2 linked regions of the Struthio camelus genome follow. The protein of the gene in region 1 interacts with the protein of each later gene in a biochemical or structural test. Links are inferred from orthologs where the notes say so. Each region holds a gene or a part of one and is shown in the gene's direction. Other genes may lie near its edges. The genes, in order: SIK2 and CRTC2.

Region 1 (3,899 bases):
TAGTCATTGCCAGAACTTCTTAAGGGGATAAATAGAGTGGCAACAGCACAGTTGTTACCCATAGCAGTGTCAGCTTAAAATGTCATCCTGTAGAGGAATCTCAAACTGCAAGTGCAGTGCAGGGCATGTGTTAACTTTATTCACTCAGGTCTTCAGTTGCCTAGTCAGAAGGATGATTACTTTATAGCAGCTGACAAATTTAAACAACCTTCCACAAGTATGAGGCAGCTTTAAATACAAAACTCCTATGTAAAGGGAAGATGTGAGACAGATGTTTAGTTCCTTGCATTCATGAACTTTTTCCTTTTGTGGCCAAGCGGTGGTCTCATTAGTGTTTGCGTCCGTGGCGCTCTGGAATACGGAGCGGGCCTGTAACTGCTGCTGAATGTGCAGCTGACTCGACAGACACGTGTGTGCCCTCATGCCACCAGCTCTGGGACATGCCTTGCTCAGTCAGCAGCACTGCAGGAAACCTCCGGAGGGCGATTCCTGTTACCTGGATGTCAGGTGGTGCCGATCTCCCAGGGTGAGGTGGGTCAGTCAGAGGGGAGCAAGGAGGGACAAGTGAGAACGGGAGGAGGGCAGATTGCTGAAAAGAGCATGGCGATTTTAGAAGCCAACATAACTGAATTACAAGCAGTGAAGTGAACTAGGTGGACTGAGTAGTGGAAGGGAAATTAGGTGTAAGAGGCCTTCCTCTTCACACACTACCACTGTCAGCTGTGTAACCATTTTATGCTGAAGGGGCCTCACTGCTTTGACATCTAAGTGATGGGAAATGCTGATGGCTATTTTGATATGTACAGGCCGATTACATTAAGGGCATCCTTCTGATGTAGGACGACTGTGGTGGCCTTGAAATGCTGTTCTCCGCAAGGGGAAGGGCATTTCCCTCCGGAAGCCGAGGATCTGGTCCTGGCTGGTGGTGATGGCCCCCAGGCCTTAGAGCTGTTCTTGAGGCTGTGGAGCAGGCTGGGAGCTGAGATGCTGATGCAGTGCTGGAGTGGCACCTGGGGGGGGGGGGGGGCTCCTGCGGTGGAGGAGCACCGGGGGGAGCCCCTTGGTTTTTTGTGGGTGGTGCTAATGTAGCTGACTCAGCCCTGCTGTGCACACAGGTGCGAGGGGCCTAGGCTTGAGGGCATGGGGGGGGGGGGGCCCTCTCCCTGGCCCCAGGGCTGTGACGGTGGAGGAGGCGGCTCCTTACATCTTGGTGGAGGGAGGTAGCTCGGGGTAGCGGGGGGTGCGGTGCCTTCTCTCCTTTCCTCTCCCCCTCCGCCCGGCCTTGCCGCGCTGCGGGGGCCGCCGGGGAGGGGAGGCCCGGCGGCCGCCCCGCCGCGGTGGCTCCGGTTGCCATGGCGAGGCCCCGCCCCCGCTGACGCGCGCGGTGACGCGCGGTTGGTGGAGGAGGGCGGAGGGGGCGGGGCGGCGCGGCTCCAGGGCGCCGCAGACGGACGCGAGCCGCTGCCGCCGCCGCTCGCGTCGGAGCCGCCGCCGCCCCCCGCGCCCAGCATGGTAATGGCCGAGCCCCGGCGGCCCCCCCCGCTGCTGCCCCGCGGGCCCGGGCCCGTCCGCGTCGGTTTCTACGACATCGAGGGCACGCTGGGCAAGGGCAACTTCGCCGTGGTCAAGCTGGCGCGGCACCGCATCACGCGCAGCGAGGTGAGGCGGGGAGATGCGAGGCGGCGGGGGCCGCGGCCGCCCCCTGCCCCGGCGCCGCCCGGCCGCCGCCGGGCCTCGCGCGCGCGCCGACCGTTGGGACCGTTGGAAGGGGGGGGGGGGGAAGCTCGCTCGGGCTCTCCTCGGGGCTTCGAGCTGTCTGTTGGGCTCGGCTCGGGGTATGGATGGGCCTTAGCGCTGTGGGGCTCGGCTCAGGGTTTCTCTGGGCGGGGGGGGGGGGGTGTTCACCTTTGGGGCTGTGAGGCTCGGCTCGGGGTGTGGGGTGGCCATGGGGCTTTGGGGGAGGGGGTGTTCGCCTTTGGGGCTGTGAGGCTCGGCTCAGGGTTTGGGGTTTTACAGAGGCGTAAGCTGGGTGGCTCAGCTGGGGGGGAGGTCGGCAGGCGCCCTTGCACGGCTTTGTCCCTTCTGGCGCAGGAACCTTCTCCTTTAGGAGAAGGTGTGAGGAGGGGGATTTTACTTGAAGTGCTTTGCTGTGAGCAGGCTTTGAAGGACGAATCATGCCTGCTTATTCTTATTTTTGGTTTTCCTGGCAAGGGCAGCAGTAACGCCTCTGAGCCCAGCTGTAGCAGGGTGTCCCTGTGGCTCCAGCCCCCCTCCCTGTGGCAGTGCACTTGCTGGTTTGTGGCTGTGACAGTAAGGATGCTGGGGGCTGTGTGTGAGGGGGTGAACAGCTGTTGGCATAGTTCATGAGGCACGCTGATCAGATAATGGTAACTTGCTTGCTGCTGATAAGGGAGGCTAAGATCTTGGCTTGTGGCTGGTTTGTTGTCCTGCATACATTAGTTTCCTCACTTGGCTAGTACTTTTAGATGAGCCGTAGTAGTCTGTTTTAGTGAAGGAACTATTTTTTATATATATATCTTGCTATGAGTCCTCCCAGTAAGACATGCTACAAATGAACCAAATCCAACCATTTTAGTTTTTCGCTGTTTTTGCTTGCCCCAAATGTTACATAGTGAGTACCAGCCTTGAAACTGTTAACCTTTCATGCTTCACCTAAAGCTATAATTATTGCAGTCTATTTGGGTAATATGTAGTCAGGTGCACTCTAAAAACTGCCATCTAATGGGAGTAATGGCTTTGAACGATCAGCTTCCTCTCATGTTTTCTTCTGAAATACTAGGGGTGAGCTCTTTGTCAGTCTCTGTGAAGATCTTTTTTGCTCTTTACTGAAGAGCTTTATGTGGTGCTTATACCAGTCAAAAATAAGGAAATTGGCTAATCAAAGTGTTGTCCAAAATACAAAGTAAACAAATTGAAAAAAACCTGACATTAAGCAGTTGCTGTAGTCTTCTCATATGACAGACTCATTCCTCACAAGAATGAAAACTGCCATGAGCTTGGGCTTTGGTTAAAGAAAACAAACCTCCAATGCTGATGTTGTTCTGGCTGTGCTGTGGTGGATGGGCTTTGCATCCTAAACATTAAATTAGAGCCATATTTCTCAAGTTGCACAATAAACTGCTAATCACTTTAAATCTTTCTCTTTTGTTACTGAAGAGCAAGTTAAGACCTTTGACGATTACCTGAAGGTGTTCTGTTCTCAAGTTGGATGCTATATGCCAAATTTCTAAGTATTCCACTTGAAAGCAGTAGGTTGTCCTTTTTAGTGGTGTTCTGTCTTATATATGGGCTTTATGATGAGGAGGAATACTTCAGTCTTGACCTTGTTATTTTAAGAAGTCTTTGTTTGGTATTGTTCAAAATAATGAGTATATAGAAAATTAGGAGCTTAACAGCTCTCTCATTCTGGTACGATTCTTCCACCTGTACCCTCAGAAATTCTTAAATTCCAGTACATTGTCATCAGTACAAGTTTGAGTTCTGTTAACCGAGTTTATCTTTTATGAGAAGCCTTGTGTACAGTGTCTAATCTGGAGCCTTTTTATTTCTGCATTATTTTTACAGTAAACTTGCCTATGAGACTTCTGTGTCAAACTTCACTTTTCAGTACAGTTACATTGCTGTGAATTTTTGCGGTAAGAGATGCAAGAATATTTATTTGGAAGTTAATTGCTTAGTTGCTCGAAGTATTGACGTGATCTTTGAGGAAGAGGAACCCTGTTCAGATCACTTTTAGTAACGTCAAGAGAAAGTAATTTTAACGGAATACTGCTTTGAATAAGCACCCCAAGTTTGGGACAACCTCACTTAATTTAATGGTAGCTGACTACGCACATAAGAGAGCGGGAGTCCCGCTTAATAACATGTCTAGATGGAAG
Region 2 (3,899 bases), on another chromosome or scaffold:
TGCTCTTCGCCCTCATGTCGCCGCTGGGCATCGGGCTCGGCGTGGCGGTGACGGCGGGCGCCGGCGCCCTGCAGCGCCTCTGGCGCAGCGTGCTCGAGGGCCTGGCCGCCGGCACCTTCGTCTACATCACCTTTCTGGAGATCCTGCCCCACGAGCTGGGCGCCCCCCAGCACCGCATCCTCAAGGTCATCCTGCTCATCGCCGGCTTCTCCCTCGTCACCGCCATCCTCTTCATCAAGATCTGAGATCCTCCCCTCCCGGCAAGCCCGGGAAGGCAGCCCTACGCAGCCCATTTTGGGTGAAACCCGGAGCTGGCGGCGCCCGCTGCCCCGCCGAGTCCCACGTGCAAGTGCCAAAGTGCCGCCCCAGCGGAGCGGGGCCGTCCCTGGGGCGAGCCCCTTCCCTGTGCCTTGGTTTCCCCGTCCGTCGAGGGGGAACGGTGCTATTCCCGGTCGGACCGCGGGGCCGGCACGCGTCTTCCCCCTGTGCCCACAAGTGCTCTTAGCGCGCCGGCGGGTCCCAGCGGTGCCCGCGTCCCCGGCCGCCCTCTGCCACCCGCGGGCGGGGGGAGATTTCGGACTGAAAAAGCAAATAAAGGACTCGATGCGATAGCTGTGCCCGGCTCCCTGGCGCCCAGCGTGGTGGGGACACTCGGGGGAGGCCTCCGGCCCCGGAGCGGGGAGCTGCGCGGGGGGCCGTGGTCAGGGTCCCCCCCCTACTCTGCTGCGCAGTGTGATCCTCCCATGCAGTACCCTCCCCTTGGAGCGTTGCCCCCCCCAGTATTGCCCCCATTGCGGTGCTAGCCCCCTGCAACGTTAGCCCCCTACGCTCCCCCCCTGCAATATTGCTCCCCTGCACTGTCACCCCCCCCACTGCCCAAGTTTGCCCCCCAGTGTCCCCCCCATGCAATATTATCCTGCTGAGCTCCCCCCGCATTTGCCCACATCCTGCAATGTCACCCCATGAAATATTACCCCTGTGCTTCTGCACCCCCCAGATGTGCCCCCTACTGTCACCCCATGCAATATCCCCCCTCCGCTGCCACCCCCCAGACGTGCCCCCTACTGTCACCCCCCATGCAATATCCCCCCTCCGCTGCCACCCCCAGATGTGCCCCCTACTGTCACCCCCATGCAATATCCCCCCCGCTTCCCCCCCCAGATGTGTCCCCCCGCAGTACTGCCCCCCTCTTCCGCGGGGGGGGGGGGGAAGCGCGCGGTGCACGCCGGGAGTTGTAGTCGAGGCGGCGCTCCCCACCCCGCGCAGTGCGGGGGGCGCCCTCCGGGGGGGGGCCAGGGACTCCGTTTCCCGCCGCTCCTTGCGGCGGCGCCGCGGGGGCTGCTGGGAATTGTAGTGCGAGACCCCCGCGGCGCCGCGGCGCCTCCCGGAGCGCGGACTACCCGCCCCAGCGTGCCCCGCGCGGCGGCGGCGGCAGCGGCGGCGGCGGCGGCGGCGGCCGGAGCGGCCCGAGCAGGGAAGATGGCGGCGGCGGGCGCGGGGGCCGGGCCCGGGCCCGGGCCCGGTGCGGGCTCCTCGACCGGCGCCGGCGCCTCCAACCCGCGCAAGTTCAGCGAGAAGATCGCGCTGCAGAAGCAGCGGCAGGCGGAGGAGACGGCGGCCTTCGAGGAGGTGATGATGGAGATCTGCTCCACCCGGGTGAGCAGGCACGGCCGCGGCCTCCGCCGCCGGATGCGCGCCGGGCCCGGGGGCGGCGGGGCACCGCCGGGGCCGCCCCCGCCGCAGCCCCGGGCCGGGGGGCGAGGGGCTGGCGGGCCGGGGCAGCCGAGACGGGGGCCGGGGGCTGCCGGGGGCCGGGCTTTGGGGGGGCGTAACCGGGGGCGGCGGGCAGGGGCGGCGAGGGGGTGCGGAGGGGCTGGGGGTCCCGGTGGGGACAGGGGGGTGCGGAGGGGTTGGGGGTCCAGGTGGGGACAGGGGGGTGCGGAGGGGCTGGGGGTCCAGGTGGGGACAAGGGGGTGCGGAGGGGCTGGGGGTCCAGGTGGGGACAAGGGGGTGTGGAGAGGCTGGGGGTCCCGGTGGGGACAGGGGGATGCGGAGGGGCTGGGGGTCCAGGTGGGGACAGGGGGGTGCGGAGGGGTTGGGGGTCCCGGTGGGGACAGGGGGGTGCGGAGGGGTTGGGGGTCCCGGTGGGGACAAGGGGGTGTGGAGGGGCTGGGGGTCTGAGGGGGGAATGGGGGGGTATGGAGGGGTTGGGGAACCAGGTAGGGACAGGGGGGACAAGGGGATGTGGAGGGGTGGGGGGGCAGGTGGGAACAGGGGGGACAAGGGGGTGCAGAGGGGCTGGGGGAGTCAGGTGGGAACAGGGGGGACAAGGGGGTGCAGAGGGGCTGGGGGAGTCAGGTGGGAACAGGGGGGACAAGGGGGTGCAGAGGGGCTGGGGGGCGTCAGGTGGGAGTCAGGGATGTAGAGGGGGTGGGGTACAGAAGGCTGGGGGGCGTTGTATGGGGGGGGCAAGGGGCTGGGTGTCCAGAGGGGGCATAACGAGGTGCAGAGGGGGTGAGGCACAGGTCGGGGTGCAGGGGGGTGTTGCAATGGGGCGGTTGATGCGGTGGGGCAGGGGGCACCGGCAGTGAGTGCCCAGCGTGGCAGGCGGTGGGGCTGGATGGGGCGCCACTCTGGGGCTCTCCCCACAAGGGTGGGCAGAGGCCGGTCTCCCTTTGAAGGGGCTGGGAGATGCAGAGAGGACCAGGTGCCCCAGGGAAAGCTTAGTTCCGGTAGTGCTTGCTTCCCGGTGCCTGACTGGGCTCCGGTTTTCCTTTTCTTTCCTTTTTGTTTGTTTATTTGTTTTTCTGTTTTTGCTGCTGGGTTTTTCTGCACGGGTTTGCACGTGGCTTGTTCTGGTCTGTGGCTGCTGTGTGTGGGTCTTGGTGCGCACCGTGCACGTCCTCTGTTTCCGTGTGCTGAGTTCACGTCCTGGCAATCAGATGGAAAAAGCGACTCTTGCCGCCTGTGGCGTCTGTGTGACTAAGGGCTCGGCAGGTTCACGAGGACTCTCGCTGACAGTTGTCTTTCCACTGCTCTGGGGGAGAGGAGGGGTCCTTGTGCCCACGGCTCCGGGATGGGCAGTTGCCTCCAGGCTCCAGCTGTGCCCGCTGGGTCTCAGTCAGCTCTGGGTGCTGGGAGGGCCCTGGCTTGGGATCACGGTTTCCAAGTCAGAAGTCCTGGTAGCAGCGCTGCCGTGTGGAAGTCACCTCTGCTGAGCGATCTTCTGCTAGCTGCAGGACCTGGGAGGCTTCTCCGTGAGCACCGGGGATTCTCGGTGTATTGGGAGCTTTAGGCTGAGCATTGCGTTAGTCTTTCCCGCCTGTGCGATCTGTAGGACCGTGCAGCTGGCTCCCACGGGAAGTGGCGGAAGCTTCATCCCTAGAGACACTTAAAATTAGATTGGCCAAAGCCTGAGAAAATGTAGCACTGGGAGCGGCACTGCTGGCTTGGGCGAGCCGGCTGAGTGGGGCTTGTGGGACGCGCCTGCGTCTGGTCTCCTCGTCTGTGCCTGCAGTGGCCAAGATTTCCCCATTCGGCAGCTTCTGGGGGTGGGGAATGAGCGTTGCTATCCTGTGCTGACCCAGGGCTTCCCAGAACGGGGCCAAAGGGATCTTAGGAGAGGAGCCGAGCGGTGCTGCTCTTGGATATTTGGGGGCTGGTGGTGAAGAAGAGAGGCCAGGAACGCAGCCGCATATCTCCAGGAACGTGGTTTCCCATGCAGGGGAAACTATCTAGAAGAGATGATCGGCTCCGATTCGTGTTTTGCTCTGCGCTGGCCCTGTGAAGTCAGTGGGGATTGTGTGAATGTTGCCAGGATTAGGATTTGGCCAGAATTCAGCTGCCGGAGACGTGGATTTTGCCAACCCAGTCTGCAGTCCAGTAGCGGGACTCTGCAG

Evidence for each region.
Region 2: of the proteins of SIK2 (region 1) and CRTC2, one has a biochemical effect on the other in vitro, tested with the Homo sapiens proteins (2 studies listed by BioGRID). The link is inferred for Struthio camelus from reciprocal best matches to the Homo sapiens genes SIK2 and CRTC2.

Annotation. Positions count from the first base shown.
Region 1 is NC_090963.1:2,873,232-2,877,130, reverse strand, and holds the start of SIK2 (serine/threonine-protein kinase SIK2), read left to right. Parts: upstream 1-1,419; 5' UTR 1,420-1,509; coding exon 1,510-1,659; intron 1,660-3,590; exon of another isoform or gene 3,591-3,656; intron 3,657-3,899. UniProt on the Homo sapiens protein: Serine/threonine-protein kinase that plays a role in many biological processes such as fatty acid oxidation, autophagy, immune response or glucose metabolism.
Region 2 is NC_090971.1:4,536,089-4,539,987, forward strand, and holds the start of CRTC2 (CREB-regulated transcription coactivator 2), read left to right. Parts: upstream 1-1,464; 5' UTR 1,465-1,479; coding exon 1,480-1,656; intron 1,657-3,899. Other genes in the region: SLC39A1 (zinc transporter ZIP1), read left to right, coding at 1-245. UniProt on the Homo sapiens protein: Transcriptional coactivator for CREB1 which activates transcription through both consensus and variant cAMP response element (CRE) sites.